Bombyx mori: one gene and its partner. The protein of the gene in region 2 purifies or fractionates together with the protein of the main gene of each other region. This does not show direct contact. Links are inferred from orthologs where the notes say so. Each region holds a gene or a part of one and is shown on either strand. Other genes may lie near its edges. The genes, in order: rptor and raf.

Region 1 (9,290 bases), on a different chromosome or scaffold from region 2:
AGCGAGTGCGCGGCGGCCAGCACGGGCGCGGCGTGGCGGCGCAGGTCGTGCGTGGGCGCCAGGGTGCGCTGGTCCCACAGCCGCACGGCGCCGTCCTGGAAGCCGGCGGCCAGCACGTCGGGGCGCGCGGCCCCCAGCGCGGTGAGGGCGGCGTCCCCGGGCGCGGCCAGGTCGCCCACCCGCAGCTCGCGCCGCGCGTCCCACAGCCGCACGCCGCGCGCGCGCCCGCCCGCCGCCACCCAGCGCCGCGCCGCCACCCAGCGTACCACCGTGCCGCCGCCCACTGCGCACACGTACCCCCCAACACATTGTAATTGAGTGTAGGAAATGAACACCTTTTAAATTGAGTCCTACAGTTCATTTATCTATTAAATCAGTTCTAAAAGATGTTGAACGTGACAACGTCATAAGAAAATACTGATGGAATGGTTTCATTTTTCAATTCTCGCAATTATCGTTGCTATAAACAATTGACACCACATTCACTTTTCACTGAACTTCATACTTGACGACAACATGTAAATGTATTATTGTATAGCAGCTGTCCACACGGATGCATCGCTCACTCAAGTAGGAGAGAGACAGATGTCGAACGCTGCCGAACGCGGAGGCCGATTGTGCCTCTTTGTCGCTCGTTGCGCGCTCTCGTTTGCACTTCAAGCCTTAAATGGAACGCCTCAGAGCGAGGTAACGCCGCATGAGTCATGTTTTTTCGTGCGGGCAGCCGGCTCCATCGAATTATAAGACGTTGTCACGTCAAAACCATTTTTTTTTTTAAAAATAATTCTCATTAGAATTTAGAAATATATATCTTTAACAAATAAAAATTATAGATCAACAAATGAGACCATTACTTTTATTAACTAGACGTGAATTAGCGCCTGACGAAAGGGTTCGATCGGACTCGCTCATTGGACCGTAGGATCACCCTTTCTATAGAGCAAATGTGCCATTAATACATCCGCTGTTCCTCAAATTAATATTTAAAATATTGACTGTTGATATAGAGATGAGTTGATTAAAGTGCCACTTACAGTTGGGGTCGGCCTGTTGCTTGTTTTTGTTCGTCGCTAGTTTGTCTTCGTTCGAGGAGAACTGATCAGAGACCAGTTGAGCTATACCTGGGATAGATTGTGATTACATTGCATTTGTAACGAAAAGATTGCTGCGGCGGTAAAGTTACTGCGAACAAATCACGCCCGGTCATACGGTCACAGATTAGGATTCCCTTTGGTCAGGATTTTTTTTTAAGAGATTTTATGACCTGGTAACTGAGACCTTGAAGTCATGTCTTATTTTCATTTATATTATTCATATTTTTATGAAAAATGATATTATGGAGTGAAATAAAATGAAGATAATTAATTTGAGACACTAATCAACTGGGATGAAATTAAATGAAATGAATTGAGATGAAATATAATCTCAGTAAAATGGTGGTCATTTACTAAGATTTTTTCAGTGGACTTTTTAGAGGATCCCGAGGAGTTACGTCCAGCGGCTTTGTTTCATTTTCCCACATTTGTGCACTTTCACAGATATTAAACAGTTAATAAACTACCATTATTACACATTTAAACCCGAGGAAACACTAAATAGACAAATTATTTTGTCACAACAAATCACACAACTTCACTCCTCGCGTTCCCGCCAAAAAGTCCCTTTGGTCAGCGTATCAGAGACTGACATAGATTATATATCGTGCCTTTAAATATATATAATAATATGGAGTAGGTATAGTAAGCGGCACGTAAGTTGGCAAGGTTTTGGTGTAGTGGGGGTAATGTCGCGCATAGTGCACATTGCAACAAAAAAATGGTCATTTTTATTGCCCGCATATAATTTAATTTAATTTTATTTTATTGTTTATTTGCCATAACTTATTTTTAAGCCTGTGTGTTTTGAAGAACGTTAAAGAAAAGAGAGGAATTCGTGAAGTGTATTAGGTGTTATAAATAAAATACAATTAAAAGTTACTATATAATTAAATTTTAATTGTTAGTAATATACTTAATATTAAAAATTATGTGTCGCCGTCGTCACTATCATTTTCTAATATTGCTACCCCTTGGATTAAATTTATTGTAGCACCTGAGCTGGTGGAAGGAGTTGGCTCCTCATCGTCGACATAACGAAGAGTCGCTGTCGTCACTGGCGTAAATAATAAAACGCTCAGTGACTGAATCTACTATATGGTAATTGGTATTTGGTCCTGGCATTGCAAACAAATTTAAAACAATAACACTCGTAACAAAAACTAAATTTAAACAATAATAACAACTCCAAACAAAAAAAAATATATAAAAAAAGGGTATCCTACAACTTAGTAGGCAAATGTGTAGCCGGGAGCGAACGGAACGCGGACGCGGTGCGGGAGGGGAGGGTCGACTGACGCACCAATCGCGCGCTCGGAACGGTGCTACGTCTTTCCCCGCGTCCCGCTTGACAACCAAAGAGACCTAAAAAATGACTTCTGCGCATCTAACGACTCTTGCCAAGTTACGTGCCGGGGACTATACTTCAGGATGAATAAACAATAAAATACTTAATTGTGTTCTCTGTAATATAATAAGAAAAGAACATTTAAAGCCCTTAATCTCTTTTAAATTTAATAACCAAAATTAAACTGTATTAATGAACTATCCAAACTGAGCTCTCTTTTTATTGAATAACTGACTTCACTACATGAAACTGAAGAAAAACCCTTTTTAAAACCTAAGGAGTTTTAAATAATAAAGGTTTTCGGCTTAATTAGCTACTACGTCACTGAGTCAGTTAATAAGCGCTTTTTTTTTACTGGTTACTGGAGCCCATAGATATCTACAACGTAAATGCGCCTACACATCTTAAGATATAAGTTCTAGTCTTAGTATAGTTACAACGGCTGCCCCAACTCACTTACAAATTACAATACCCCACAATACACTACCCCAAATTACGATACTGCATTTGGCCCCAAATGACGTTACAGGTAAATAAGTTGCGTTTTGTAGTATACGGGACAATGTTGAATGTACTGTGTCCCAGGCGCTAGATTCGTTCTAATACTATACTATGAGTAGTTCTTGTGCTGTGACTCTGAGGAAGGTCGGAGCCCTCTGCAAACGTGCGTTGCAGTCGCGTTCTTTTCATATCAACTTGACCGTAACATGTCTAGGGTGGCAGGTGTCTAGAGGGACAGGTGTTGGGGGAACAGGTGACTGGGGGACAGATGGCTGGGGGGACAGGCGATTGGGGGACAGATGGCTAGGGGGTCAGATGACTGGGGGGACAGGTGGCTGAGGGGACAGGTGGTTGCGGGTACGTACTGTAGATGGGCTGCGCGCGCGGCGGGGTGTACTGCGGCGGGGGGGACACGTCCAGCGCGCGCCACGCGCTCACCAGCGCCGGCTCCGTGCTGCTGCCCGACGGCCTGTGTGGCACCACCACATGTACGGGGACTCTTATACAACGGGTCGCTGAGAGCGGCTACAGGAGCTGACACTTGGGGACCGGTACCTGTAGACTGCCAGGTTGCCGGTGTGCGAGGCCACGGCCAGCAGCGCGTGCTGGTGCTCGTTGAGGTAGGCCAGCGAGGAGATGCGGCCCCACGCCGGGCGCCACGAGCCCACGCACAGCTTGGCCGCCGTGCCCCAGTCCCAGATACTGCGGAGAGCACCACCACGTGGTTAATGTCTACATCTAGGGGCGTTGCGAACCCGCGTACTTCGAAGCAAAGATTCGTTCCGGTTTGTGTGGCGAGACAGCCGGTATGTAATACAGTTGAGCTATGGACAACGATCACGTGGGGTGCGGCATTCATATTAATCCAATATCCAAGCTCCAGAACCAAACGACATCAGGTAGAAAATCATAGAAGTGGCAGCTTTTGGTCTGGCGGATAGAACGTCAGGGGGCGCAGGCCCAACCCTCCGTTGAGCCTTGACCCCAGGTCGACCATGAGCTCTGTCAATAATATTTATTGGAAATAAAAGGTTTGTGTTCCAAAGGACAATGACCACATATGTATGGAATGCCGTCTTATGTTGTTGCACAATAAATCTTTATTTATTATAGACTACGCTTTATATATTATCGAATAAAAGTGTTCGCTTCCCCATAATTAACCGGGTTTTCAAGTAATTAGACCAAAACGGACATAACCTATAAATACCTAGTCAGGTCATAAATTCTGTCACATGTTTAATGTAAAATAATTGAAACAAGTTTATTCATTATGTAACCATTCATATACCAAAATGAACTTAACAAAACATATATTCTTATAACACTAAAGTTTATTCAAAATGACCTCCGTGATTTTGAATACAGGCCTTCAATCTGCGCGGCCAGTCGTCTATCGCAGCACGAACGAGGTCCATGTCAATATCGGCGGCTGCCTTAATCAACGATGTCTTGAGTGACTCCAAATTGGGATGAGGCTTTGAGCACGCCTTTTCCTCCAAGTGTTGCCATATCTTGTAATCTAACGGATTCAAATCTGGACTGGAGGAGGGCTAGTCTTCGTGCCGGATGAAGTCGATTTCACGCGCCCCAGCCAGTCTTGTGTGCTCTTCGCTCTATAAGCTGGCGCCGAATCTTGTTGGAATACCCAGTGCCTGTTATTGAACATGGTATGAGAAACAGGTTCCACAAGGTTCGTCAGGACTGTATTTTGATACACAACTGCATTCATTTTTACAGCTTTCTCACAAAAATGTACCTCTGTTAAGCCCCAATAAGAAACTCCCAACCATACCATGAGCGAGGATGGAAAATGACCTCGTTGGACACGCGGAATACGGTTGCTCGCTTCTTCACTACTGTGTGGGTACACCTTATCATTTTGTTTGTTGTAGCTCTCTTCTACGGTAAAACTTTTTTCATCCGAAAAAAGAATTTCCCGATATTTTTTTCCCGCGTACCGCTTCAACAAAGCGCGGCATCTCTTCAGTCTCAGGTCCATTAGACGAGCATTCAAACGATGTCCTGTTTTTCTTCGATATGCCCGAAGCCCTAAGTCTTCATTTAACACCCTTTTCACCGTGGTTCTGCTTAACCCCATCTGAAGGGCCAACAGTTTCTGCTTACGTTTGGGATTTCTTTGAATTCGCGCCTTCACAGCTTTTATCACTGCTGGAGTCCTAACAGACCGAGGGCAACCACTTCTTGACCTGTCATCTACACTAGAGTCTTCATTGTATAGTTTGATGGTACGATAAACGAATCTTTTGGTTATATTCAAATTTTTCAGTATGTTAAAAATTTGAATTAGCGCGTAACCGCAAAGATGCAACGCAATAACTGCAACACGGTCTTCTTTAAGCGTCCACTCAATATGTAAAAATGAGTAAAATTCTAAAAGTATACATTTTTATTTTCATGAACAATTCGAAATTCGAATTCAATGAACTTTTTTGTGGCCAGCATTCTAAAAGAAAAGTTTTTACTGTGTGACAATACTTATGACCTGACTAGGTAATGTTAAGCCGACTTTTCCTGATTATCAGAGGCTCAAGCATCAGCATGATTACAGAATTACAGAGACTCTAGAGTTCATAAACAAAACATATACACGTCTTAAAACACTTTTAGGTACATAAAAACGTATGGCCGCTTGCTGGGTCACAGCCGCCGGCTCGTCTACGTCGATCGACAATAATATCATATAGCTTGACAGTTGCGTCTGGATGAAACGGAACCAGAAAAAATAATTATTTTAACTTAATAATAAAATCATAATTCAATACGTTGTAAAATATAATATAATATACCTAGTTATTTAACTGGACAAGATTTTGATATCATTTTTGTGATGATTGAGTCTAAAAACTCATGCATGAGTAATCTGTCTAAATAGAGAGAACAAAACGTCATGTCCCGACTTTAATACGAAAATGATGTTGTTGATTTACTATTAATCTTAAAATCATAATTCCCGTCCTGTGCAAAACATTTCTGTAGTGAAATTGATTCTGACTATCAGAATCAATTTCAGCGGGCTGACCTTCGTGCCCGGGGCGTGGCGCGTCCCAGCCCCTGTGTGGTCAGAGCGCGGAGGGCCCAATCTCGGCGGTCCGTGCTGGAGTCATGGTCCAGACGGCTGGCTGATCCTTCGGCCGGTCGTAGGACCCTCGAGGCGATTCGCCCGGTCCTTGTGGATTGGGTGAATCGTGACAGAGGACGCCTCACTTTCCGGCTCACGCAGGTGCTCACTGGGCATGGTTGCTTCGGTGAGTTCCTGCACCGGATCGGAGCCGAGCCGACGGCAGAGTGCCACCATTGTGGTTGCGACTTGGACACGGCGGAGCACACGCTCGTTGCCTGCCCCGCATGGGAGGGGTGGCGCCGTGTCCTCGTCGCAAAAACAGGAAACGACTTGTCGTTGCCGAGTGTCGTGGCATCGATGCTCGGCGACGACGAGTCGTGGAAGGCGATGCTCGACTTCTGCAAGTGCACCATCTCGCAGAAGGAGGCGGCGGGGCGCGTGAGAGACGCACAATCCCGCCGCCGTCGAGCGGGGGCCAGGGAGGCGGATCTCGCCCAAGCCCTGGCCCTTTAAATATTTCGGGTCCCCCTCACATGTCGGTCTGGGGACCGGCGAGGGGGGCCTAAGAAGACGACGTGCAAGCTGCTCTGCACGCGTTTTACGCAAGAGCATCCGGGTGATGGAAGGCCGGCTATCCTCGACTCACGCTGGTTCTGGTCCAGCGGGGTATTCCGTAGGATAGCTCACTCTAACCGGCGCCATCTAGGCGGGCTTCGGATAGCCTGCCGACCGAGAGGGCTGGTGGTCGTGGCGCCGACGACCGCCGGTCCGGCGTCCCGAGGGGGAGGGTGATGGGAGAGATGTGCTCCGCACTAAACGCTTCACTTTCCCCCCTCTGCCTCTTCATGAGTTCTGTCTCATGCGAGGTTTGGACGTTGGTTGTTGAGCGACAGGAGGTTTTAGTCAGTTCGACTCTGACATGCCCCGCCCTCCATCCCCAGTGGAGGGCGGAAGTCCGGCGATTTCCTCCTGACAAAAAAAAATAAAAAAAAAATAAAAGGGAAATTGATTGTAAAAAATTACAAAACTATTTCAATGTTATTTTGATTCTGCAAGATGCAACTTTGTTAGACGACTTTTGGTCATTCTCCTTTCAATGAATTTTAAGATATTTAGTTCGTAACTGTTGGCAGTACTGAATGAAATAACAAATTCAAAGAGAACTCCTTACGTTTATGTGAACCTGGTACTTTGACAAATTCAATTTATTTAGTTAAGCAGATCTAATCATATGTAACCGAACAGATTCGTGTGGTCGCTTTTCATCGACAAATGACCACGGCGCCACAGAAGTTTTCACTTCATAAAGTTACAAGTACGGCACGTCACCACCTCGTCCCTCACATTATTTACCAGCCCCACGGACACATCTTGCATTATTTTTTTTTCGGGCTGGGGGCCTAGCCTCCTACAAGGTCCACGCGTCTAGGGGGGGCGCGGGGTATGTGGGACTCGACGATCTGCAAGGTCTTGGGAGCAGACCGCGGGCCCAAGGAATTTTAGGGCCCTACCCACTAAACGACTCCCCTACATTCTTAGACCCGATGTCCGATCTCCATCCGGGGTCCAAACCCGGTCAGAGTAGGGGGATTCCCGCGGTCAACACTACAACCAGACACGCGGCGCCACCCCGAGGACACCCGACCGACGGGTACCCTTCTTGCATAATCCAACCTTTATGGAAGGTAATCACAGCACGGTTGTGACACATTACGTACCCGAAGTTATCCTTGGAGGCGACGGCCAGATGCTGGTCGTAGGGGTGGAAGAGCACCACGGCGGGCGGCAGCGGGCAGCGCGAGTGGAAGGCCTGCGTCTCCAGCCGGGACACGCGGCACGCGGCTGCACCCACATGCCACATGCATCACGCAATCATCACAGTGTTCGATACGTTTCATACTTTTCAATCGCATTCATAAATGTTTAAATGTTAGACGATGTCTGAAAGTGGCACGTGTGACAGAGAAGTTGAGAAGTGCGCGTTTGGGATTGTATGGACATGTGATGAGACGAAATGAAAATAAGGTTGGTAAGAAAGTTAACTGTGAATGAGGATATTGAGAAAGAGGAAACCTAAGAGGAAATGGATGGATTACGTGAAAGTCGATATGTGTAAGAGAGTGAGCGAAGAAATAGTATATGATAGAGTATGGAAGGAGAAAATATGTTGGGCCGACTCCAGGTGACTGTCAGAAGGGCAGGAGAATGATGATGATGATGATGAGATAAATGTTTAAACAGTAACTCGGGAGTTCGCCTTTTTTTTTATTGCCCTTGCAGACGAGCATACGGAACACCTAATGGTGAGTGGTTATCGTCGCCCATGGACTTCAGCAATGCCAGGGGCAGAGCCAAGCCGCTGCCTACAGATCGCCTCTCGATCTCTGTGAGGGTCGGTACCTCTGGCCTCCCTGCGCAGCTCGCGGTTGCGCGCGAGGGTCCAGCGGCGCTGGTGGTGCTCGCGGCTCTCGCAGTCCGGGCGCGCGGGCTCGGGCCGGGAGAACGCGCCGCCCGCCCACTCCACGAACTCGGTGCTCACTATCGCCTTCTTGCTCGTACATGTCTGACCTGGACAGCGACAACATACAAAATTCAAAATTCAAAATCATTTATTTCAACTTAGATGTCAGTATGACACACTTGTTGAATGTCAAAATACAAATAACAATGTTAACTCTACCACCGGTTCCAAAAAAAGCCACAGTCCTGAGAAGAACCGGCGAAACAAACTCAGCGGGCTTTTTTTTTGTTTTTTTCTCAAATATTTTCTTTTTTTAAATAAATAGAAATATTCACAATAAAAGAAAAAACAAGTCAAAAAAAAATACAATTAAAAAAAAATTAATAATAATGAAAAATGAAAAGGCCAGGAGCGAGCGCCTCATTCCCACGTAGTGCCATCTAGTAAATAATCCTTAACTTTATAATATGCCTTGTTGCACAAACGTTCCTTAACAGTTTTCTTAAATCTATGAACAGGTAGTAGTTGAACGTTTAGTGGGATCTTGTTGAAAAGCTGTACACCCAGCTCCCTAAAAGAGTTGCTTATTTTCTTAATTCGAGCCGCCGGCAACGCAAGCCTATGTTTGTTCCTAGTGTTCACATTGTGCAAATCGCAGACTCTGGGGAATTCTTCAATGTTTTTACGCACGTACAATAAATTTTCAATACCATAGAGAGGTGCCAGTTAATGAAGATGTTTTACTGGTGGTAGGACCTCTGGTAAGTCCGCGGGTGGGTACCACCACCCTGCCTGTTTCTG
Region 2 (9,371 bases):
CTCGTCGGCCGGGATGACCCAGTCATCGTAGCTCTCCCGCGGCGACAGCGCGTTCTTCCACGACTCGTCCGCAGAGCGCGCGCGCGCCCGCCGCGGCCGCAGCGTGCCCGTCGGAGACGTCTGCGGCACAGTTGTATTCTCGTGTTCAACCTTTTTACTGATTGTAGGGCCTCTTGTGAGTCCGCACCACCAGGAGGGTGGGGTAGATGCCACCACCCTGCCTATTTCTGCCGTGAAGCAGTAATACATTCCGGTTTGAAGGGCGGCGCAGCCGTTGTATCTATACTGATACCTTAGAACTCATATCTCAAGTGAATTTTTATTATTTTTATATTATTGCTCTTGTAGGCAGACGAGCATACGGCCCACCTGATGGTGAGTGGTTACCGTCGCCCATGGACTTCAGCAATGCCAGGAGGCAGAGCCAAGCCGCTGCCTACCTACATTTACGTTGTAGATGTCTACGGACTCCGCTAACTACTTAACACCAAGTGAGCTGTGAGCTCGTCCACCCAGCTAAGCAATAAATAAATATATACACTTCACATTACATGACCATATGTGTACGCGGTTTTATCCATTGGGTTTGAGTATATTAGATTTCTTCGAGAACTATTCGCATAGCTTTTTCTAATGTTATAGATTCAAAGCTCAGGCTCTTACTCCATGACCAGACCTCTTTCGTGTTTATATGATTACCTACATCTTAATTGTTTGTCAATTTAAATAGCAGTAATGTAAATGTTATAAGTGTGCAATAAGAGGATGATGTGTGTGGTGTAGTGTCGAGTGTCGTGATGCGTCACCTGCGTGCTGTGGCTGTGCGGATGGTCGCTGTCGTCCGCCTCGTCCTTGCTGGGCCCGCTCGAGCTCAGATAGTTCGACGACTGCGTGGAGTTGTCGCTGCCGTGCTGTACGCCCAGCAACAATATAACGACTTCACTAATATTAAGACAGTGTTGTTTTTTTTAAGCTATTGCATAGATTTTATCGCGGGCCTGAGCGCGGCGACCGAATCATGAAATTCCGTAACGAAAAAAATCTTACACCCCTCACTCCGCCTACCATGTAGCTCGCGTTCAACACATTCACACGTTGCGCTTGTGTAGTGTTCGTGAATAAGCGCGTGGCGTGACGTCACACTGCATGCGCATCATGAAAAGTCTGCCCATCTCTCTCTCACGCGGTCTAGCTTATGAGTGTGAAGGGGACAGTTAAGGTTTTGCTTTTATTAATATTTAATATAGCGTCTTCTTGTTTTATTATTGTTTTAATATTAAATTGTCATTGTCTAATTATAATTGCATAAGTTGATAAAAAATGCTATGCAATAGCTTTATCGCGGCAGTTCCCGATTGCCACACGTTTTTTTTTTATTGCTTAGATGGGTGGACGAGCTCACAATCCACCTGGTATTAAGTGGTTACTGGACCCCACAGACATCCACAACGTAAATGCGCCACCCACCTTGAGATATAAGTTCTAAGATCTCAAGTATAGTTACAACGGCTGCCCCACCCTTCAAACCGAAACGCATTACTGCTTCACGGCAGAAATAGGCAGGGTGGTGGTACCCACTCGCGCGGCCTCACAAGAGGTCCTCTACCACTAGTAAAAATTATTATTTTAAATGATCAAATGCTGTTTTGATAAATATCAGAAAAATGTAGGGTAGACGCTGTAATGCCAAAGTATGAAATGGTGGTACGTCAGAGTCGGGCCGTCACTTAGTCAGTCGGAACGAAACTGTCAGTTTAACCTGTCATTGTGAAAATTATTTGTTTAGAGTTTCAATAATTCTGCTAATTCCAGTTTAAGAGCGGTAATGTACTAAGTACAACGGTATGCGGTCCCTCGTGCAGCGTCACGCCTCCGCTGATTAATAATCGAGTTACATTTCGTTTATGAAACAGAAGAATAGATTATTTTGATGTTTTCATATATATTTTCGAATAAAATTATGTTAAATAAATAATAATACTAAGCGAGGGTTCGTATTCTATGATTGTCGCTGAACTTTAGAGTTAGTCTAACTAATTGTTACGAACGTTAGTCTCACTAGAACCTCTGTACCTGTATCCACACCAGTGTGCCTAGTGCGAGTTTTTTGAACGTTCTCGATAGCGTAAAAGTCAACTCTATGCAGTTAGAACAGCGCCCCTAGCGGCAAACGTAGGCAAACATTCCAACTCCATATAACTGTGAGTTAACTTTTACGCTAACGAAAACGTTAAAAAACTCGCACTAAGCACACAGGACCATAATTGTGTTGATGGTTAGAAAAACTATATTACCTGACTGTAGCATTTTTGATGTTCAGCTAGCGTCAAAGGCTTCTGCACCATGTTGATGCAAACATTTGGAGCAGAATTTGATCGGTCTTGCTGGTTCAATGAACGTGGGTGTGGTTGTCTGGTGGACAAAATAAACAGATTACAGACATTAACAATAGAGAATTGTATAACGTATGACACAGAGAGTTGACACAAAAATGAAGAAAAACTAGTTTTTTAAATTAGTGTATATATTAATGGAACCAAAACTTGTCAAATGTACATACTGAGATCTTAGAACTTATATCTCAAGGTGGATGGCGCATTTACGTTGTGGATGTCTATGGGGTCCAGTAACCACTTAACACCAGGTGGGCTGTGAGCTCATCCATCCATCTAAGCAATAAAAAAAAAAACGCCAACTCTTTTTTCCTACCTATTCGTTGGTAGTATACAGGGCAATTCCAGCTACGATCGGACGGGTAGGTGAGCTCACGGGTTCAACCTGACAGAATTTGCTAACACCAGCCCTAGCAAGAGCAGTGCTTCGCTGAATCTACCACCGGATCGGAATAGCGACCCACCGACAAGATCTGGCGAGAAACTCAGTAGGCTGTATCTATGGGTTAGTTCACTCGTGGAATCGACGAGTTCCACGAGAACCGGTGCTGGAGGCCTAAAAGCACCGAGAGTAAATCCGGTGGATCCGACAAGACATGTTTTGGGCGACGGCGGTTTTGCATTGACCCGTCGCTTGGGCAGGATAAGTAATTAGCGGCGGTACACACTAAGCGGATTATCGTGTCGCGCCGCTTTGTCGAAGTAGTGTTCTGACACTACCTTAAGATGCTTACGTATAGGTTCTAAATTTAGGTCGTCGTGAAGGTCAACATTCCTCACGTACCACGATGCTCCGGCGGCTATCCTGCAGAAACGGGATTGGATGACCTCAAGAGAGTTTATGTGCATGCGCGCCCCGTGAGCGAACACTAAGCTTGCATAGGTGTCGACGGAAATTTTATGCTACTCACTTGCTTTGGTCTCCTCTCATCCCAGGATGGTACCCGAAGTGGGGAGGATAGTGTAGAATGCCAGCTTGAGTTTCTGGGTTCTGTGCCAACAGTGCTGCATAATATGTATCTGTCATACGTACCTGTCGAAACGAAATACAAATCATTATAATTATCATGATTACAAGTCTTAATAACGAAAACGGTTAGTATATAATATTGTTTTTTTTTGCTTATACTAAATATGCTACTAGCGTCAAGATATACTAGATACACCGAACGTTTAGGCGATCTCAAGGGATTAAACCTGACGATTTTGCTAACACTAACTCTAGCAAGGGCAGACTTCGCTGAGAAGATCCAGCGAGGAACTCAGTGGGCTGTTTCTGTAGTTATATTTTCGCGACGAACCCTTCGTCGCAATGGAGGGGTCTGACGAGAACGGTGACTGGTGGTTGGAGTATCTAAAAGCACCGATAGTGGATCGGGAGGATTCGAGGTGACGTGTTTTGGGCGACGGTGCTTGTTTACCATTTGGTCTGCAGGCTCGGTTATGTTTACTCATGTTAAGTAACAATATAAAAACATATATAGCTTTCCAATGTCAAACCCTGGAATGGAAACTTAACAGCGATTACCACCTAATTGGTTAAAGCCTTTTAGGGTAAGTAAACTAAATTACTGTGCCACTGGGTTGATTTGAAATTATTGTTTAAGATGTTTTGCATTATGAGATGAAAGTATACTTCTTTTTGTCTCAATCAGTCTGATGTTTGGGACACTTAAAACACAGTAAGCAATCCAGTAAATGTTTTTTATAAATTCTATAGGGAGCCCCACTTCCTTCAAAGTTAGTAAGTAAGTAGTTATTAATTACTATTTCATATCAATAGGCAAAGAAAAAGTTCAGTACCTTATTCTGTTTCATAGGTCAAACTGTTCTTTGGTTTAGTAATGATTATAAAACATAGAAAGACATTATAAGAAAAGAAATACAAAATACTTAACAACAAATAGATAAAATTACAACATAAACCTAGAGTTTGTAATAATATAAACTAACCTGATGGCACATACTAGGAACTTTATCAGCGCATCTCTGGTGAAACTTGAAGTTACACTGCGAGCAGTAAAATCCATTGAAGAGTAGTCGCCTGCAGCACTCACAGAAAGCTAATGTGAAGAATGTCTTACGGGCGAATTGATGTGAGATGTGAGTCATTATAGGTAGCCCGTCAAGAGTCCGAACTGTTACCTGAGCAATCAACGGGATAAACATTAGCATTGATTATCAATAAAAAAGTAATCACTCATGAGTAATCACTCTTAATTCAAAAAACAAAAACAACGAGCAATATTAAAGTTGTGTGTTGATTTGATGTTTGATATGGCCCATTACTGAGTTAATGAGAAAATTACTATGAGTTTATTCATCTTGCTCCTGAAGGTTTGGAACTAGTTAATATCAGAATTGGGATACTGTATATGAATGTAGTGGAATATCTATCAAGTGCCACCAGATGCCATCTTCAGATTGTTTATAGAAGTGGACATTTTGACCACACTTAAAAGGTCATGTTCATCCACAGAATATGTCCTTGGTAAAAAGATGTAATGGGCAAAAGTATATAAGATCATATATGAGGTCTATAAAATCAAAGGCAGCTAAACACCATAATGTCGTAAAATGTATTAACAATGGCTCTATCTTATTTAGTTAGTTGAACATGCTTTAGTGTTTTCATGTTATAACAAATGCAGCTTAATCTCTAACAAATTCAGTTCAAAAAAGTTAAGTTTACTCTGCATTAAGTACTATTAAACGAAGTTTTATCATTTGAAATTCAGATTATTAGTAATATTCTCATTCTTTATAAATATGTTTTAAAATAAAGAATATTGTAGCTATACAAACAAAGTTATTTCAGATTCTCAAACCGGGAGTGTTGCTAACACTGGCCCTAGCAAGAGCAGTACTTCGATGGATCGGGAGGATCCGTAATGACGTGTTTAGGGCCGATTTTTGTAGTTTACCTGAATATTTGACAGACTTGGATATAGCTGCCTTTGATTTTATAGGCCTCATATATATTTTTTATTAAATATATATTTATCACCATTCTGAGTAGGTATTTATTTTAATTCAACTATTCACAAAAATAAAGATTGCAATAAGATTTTTTATCATCGACCCCAGTTTACAGTTTATGGAATCATACCAGTTTTTTTTCACAATCCTAGAAGTGAATTATTTTTATACACATTTTCCTGACTGTTTATGAAAAAGTAAATGTTAAAATGAGTAAAAAATCAGGGAAAAACATGTTGTAAGCTTTATAAGTAATTAGTAGTTATTGTTTTATTAGTAATTAAGGGATGATTAGTGTACACTGACCTCTTCTGCATCAATAGTGGTTATATCAATGTCCCACGGTATAACTTGGTTGTAGCCCGTCCTCACAACCTCACACATCTCGCAGGTCAGGTTCCGCAATTTGAGCGCTTTGGAGAGAGCCACACGCAGTGTCACTCCCTCTTTGACCTGTACACTGGTTCGCTGCTGGTTCGGAAGATGGGCTCGCAGAAAAACTTTCCGCTGACGAGTTAGAGTGTCAAACTTTTTTGAGTCATCAAAAAACGAGTACTCTTCGCTATGATCTGGAGAATCGGTTTGTAATAATTCTCGTAAATGCCTCTCCCGCTGCTCCAGCGTATGTAGCTTTGACGTTAGCTCCTGATACTCAATTAGATATAACGAAGGTGGGTGCTGGAAACCAGCGAATTTAGCATTCAGCGCATCGATGTTGTGGCGAGTCACGTTTATAATGTTCTGTATATTCCTGATCTCGTACTCCGGATCCGCAGTCTCATCACTGTCCGTCGACGTCGACATGTTGTCACTGTTAAGCGATAGCGCGGGTATATTTCCATTAATTCGTGCACAATTTTCTTTTTCGCTAGTTACTGCCATTTCTTTTTCAATATTTTTTTATTTCATGCGCAGACTCGCCGCGCAAGACATGATTGTAATTGCCATTATTCAAAAAGAAAATTCTACTATTCCACTTCATTCTTCTACCCTACAATTTAATAAAATTCATAATTTCGTAGTCTCAAGTTGGTCACAAAAAAATGAATTTTGGGTTCGGATTCGTTACGCAGTGTACTTCGTTCATCTTGGAAGTTGTTCGCGAACACGTATACGGTTAGTAATTTACGCTTTTCCTACCTTGCGCTATCTGTTTACAAGATTTTAGCTCATACTACGTACCTAATTACTACCCTAACACAGATACACATTTAAGTGTATTCCTCCTCCTTGCATCGTATTCGTCAATGCTGAGAGAGTACCCTTCTGTATAATCACTTTCTCATGCACGATCTTTCTCCATCTGTTTTTAAATTCCCTTCATTTCAAAACAAGAAAAAAAACTATTTGTTGTTGTATATTCCCACCTTTTATCGAAAAATCCAAAATTACTTACATGACAATGAATTTTATTTCATACGTGTCATTTCACTTTCTGTACTCAAACTTGGCTTTTTTTAGAAAAGGATTAAACTTATCGGTTAGTTCCCTTTGCCTGCTTTTACCCTAACAAAAAAAACTTTATTGGTTTTATTTATTACCTTTGAACATGCTAAAGGAACTTAGTTCATAACTCCAGTTTTTTGTACATTCGAGCTTAAAACTAATTCACTTCAACTAATTTCAGCTTAAAAGTACTACTAAATGCTGAACAATTCTGAGAAGCCACATCCAGCAAATAAAATAATTCCCCCAATATATATCGCTCCCTGCGTTCCCGCCAAAAATCACTAATCCCTACGCTTTTCTATGCAATGCGCTCACATGATGGCGATGATTTTCCAAGCCCAACGATGCCAGGCATAGATAGATTACCCATATCTTAGTATTCGAGATGCCAGGTGTAGGTATTATAATTGCAGTAAATTTACTGTTATTTTTTTGCTATCACCGTCTACTGTATTGCAAAAATAGTGTATTAAAATATTTATGAATTTCAGGCTTAAAAACTTTTAGACAAAAAGCAGTGTAGGCATGTGAATATATGCAGAGGGAAATCCCCGCGAAACAGTTTCTTTCAATTGAATTAATGGTATCTTCTGTACTTTCATGGGCACTAAAGATTTATAGACAATTATTATTCTACAAAACATAATTTAACAAAAAGTAAATCAATTGGTACTTATTTTCCTTTAGATTTGTTTTAAAAAATTGCGGTAGCACTGTGAGATTCTTATCTTTACGTAACTTCCTTACACATTTCGGTCGTATTAATTCAAGGTTATTCAGCTAAACAAATAATCGGTTGGAGAAAGTGATAATGAAGGATTCCCTACACCTAAAAGAAAAATAAATTATAAACAATCCCGCGATAAGTTACGGCATAAAAATTTCAAAGTGTGTGTGACATGATTAATATCCATAAGGGGATTAATGTGTCTCTAGCGACACATCGATGATTGCTAACATGTGGGCATTGAAACGCCACAGTGAATTGCACAAACGTATCAAGGCATTTCGGATCCTCCCGATCCACTATCGGCGCTTTTAGGTACCTCAAGCACCGGTCAATGTGCTCGTCGAACTCGTCGCTTGCGACTAAGGGCTCGGCAAATTAACCCTCAGACACACACATTCCACTGAGTTTCTCTCCGGATCTTCTCAGAGAGTCGCGTTTCCGATCCGGTGGTAGATTCTGCGAAACCATGTTCTTGCCAGAGCTAGTGTTAGCAACTTCGTCAGGTTAGAGCCCCGTAAGCTCACCTACTCGCCCGGTGTTGAACTGGCATAACCCCTCAAGCATAGGCAGGAAAACAACACAAACGTATTTTTAAAAGTCAAACTTCGGAACTGCGGAAATAAAGTTAGCAACTTTTGTGACAGCTTGGAAGTTAGAGTATCTAGTGGGGTCATAGATTATCTAATTGAGATTTGCTGCAAACATTTTATGGTTCTGAGATTGCAAATAATGAAACTCAAAGCAGATCATTATAAATCAAACCCAGAAAATTATAATTTGCATAATTACTGGTGGTAGGTAGGATGTCTTAGATTTTGTTGTATTTCAACAAATATTGTAAATTTTTATAGCTTATGATCAAAATGGTTACAATACAGATCATATTTAAAGTAAACCATCAACACTGGTAGATCCTGTATTAAATGAAGTTTACCTTAAGATCATTGAAGTTACACTTTAAACAAGTTATATTGGTGGAATACTATACATAGAGCACAAAGGAATGTATGTATTTTATGATTCTTTGAAAGGAAAGAATCATTTATCTATATTTTAAATAAAAATGACTTCAAGGCGAAATAAAAATTTAAACTAAAATAGTGTGCATTAAAAAGTGTATTGGTACTTTCACTTGTTGTTGTGGTAACAGTACAGAATCTTAAAATAAGTATTCTTATATAACTAAAGCCTTATATAAAATTATAACATATCGAAGTCATCTCTCTGTAAAAGAAAAAAAAAGAAATATTAGTTTAAGTTTCTTCCGTTTTATCTATGCAAACACATCCATGTCTTTGTTAATGACAATGTTATAAATAATTGATCCCTATATAATGTTTTCATTTTTTTTTAATTTCATATCAAAACCAGTGTGACATTATGCTGTGGACAAGTTCTAAAATTTATTTAATGCATTACTGCTTTCCATTTAACAAAAGTTGTTTTTCACAACTATTCTAAACCTCTACGCAGAGCTTTTTCACAATTATATTATCAATATGTAAGTAAACTTAGAAATATGAATAAACATTAAAAAGTTTAATGAATGTGTATTGTGTATACTAACCATTTCATTATATTCCAGAACATGTTTTCTTATTGCTGAACCATCAACCCATGTAACAAAGTCCTCCAGTGATCTGTTGACAAGGAATGCAGGATCCTTCACTACTTCAGGTCCCACTCTTACATGTCCTTGTTCAATAAACTTTGTGGCTTCTTTAATAGTTTCTGACATTTTATCTGTGCATTTATAAACATCAATAATTATAAATGACATTTATTAATAAAAATGCAAATTCCAAGAAATATGTTATTGT

What was found.
Region 1: the proteins of raf (region 2) and rptor purify together in Homo sapiens (affinity purification with mass spectrometry; 3 studies listed by BioGRID and IntAct, with this or other methods). This does not show direct contact. The link is inferred for Bombyx mori from reciprocal best matches to the Homo sapiens genes BRAF and RPTOR.

What each region holds. Positions count from the first base shown.
Region 1 is NC_085123.1:802,673-811,962, reverse strand, and holds part of rptor (regulatory-associated protein of TOR), read right to left. Parts: intron 8,597-9,290; coding exon 8,429-8,596; intron 7,871-8,428; coding exon 7,747-7,870; intron 3,646-7,746; coding exon 3,499-3,645; intron 3,413-3,498; coding exon 3,309-3,412; intron 1,122-3,308; coding exon 1,035-1,121; intron 284-1,034; coding exon 1-283. UniProt on the Homo sapiens protein: Component of the mechanistic target of rapamycin complex 1 (mTORC1), an evolutionarily conserved central nutrient sensor that stimulates anabolic reactions and macromolecule biosynthesis to promote cellular biomass generation and growth.
Region 2 is NC_085121.1:974,428-983,798, forward strand, and holds the start of raf (raf kinase, effector of Ras), read right to left. Parts: upstream 6,449-9,371; 5' UTR 6,255-6,448; coding exon 5,679-6,254; intron 4,539-5,678; coding exon 4,347-4,538; intron 3,427-4,346; coding exon 3,305-3,426; intron 2,413-3,304; coding exon 2,295-2,412; intron 912-2,294; coding exon 807-911; intron 121-806; coding exon 1-120. Other genes in the region: U3 small nucleolar ribonucleoprotein protein IMP3, read right to left, coding at 8,752-8,775, 9,119-9,294. UniProt on the Homo sapiens protein: Protein kinase involved in the transduction of mitogenic signals from the cell membrane to the nucleus. Phosphorylates MAP2K1, and thereby activates the MAP kinase signal transduction pathway. Phosphorylates PFKFB2.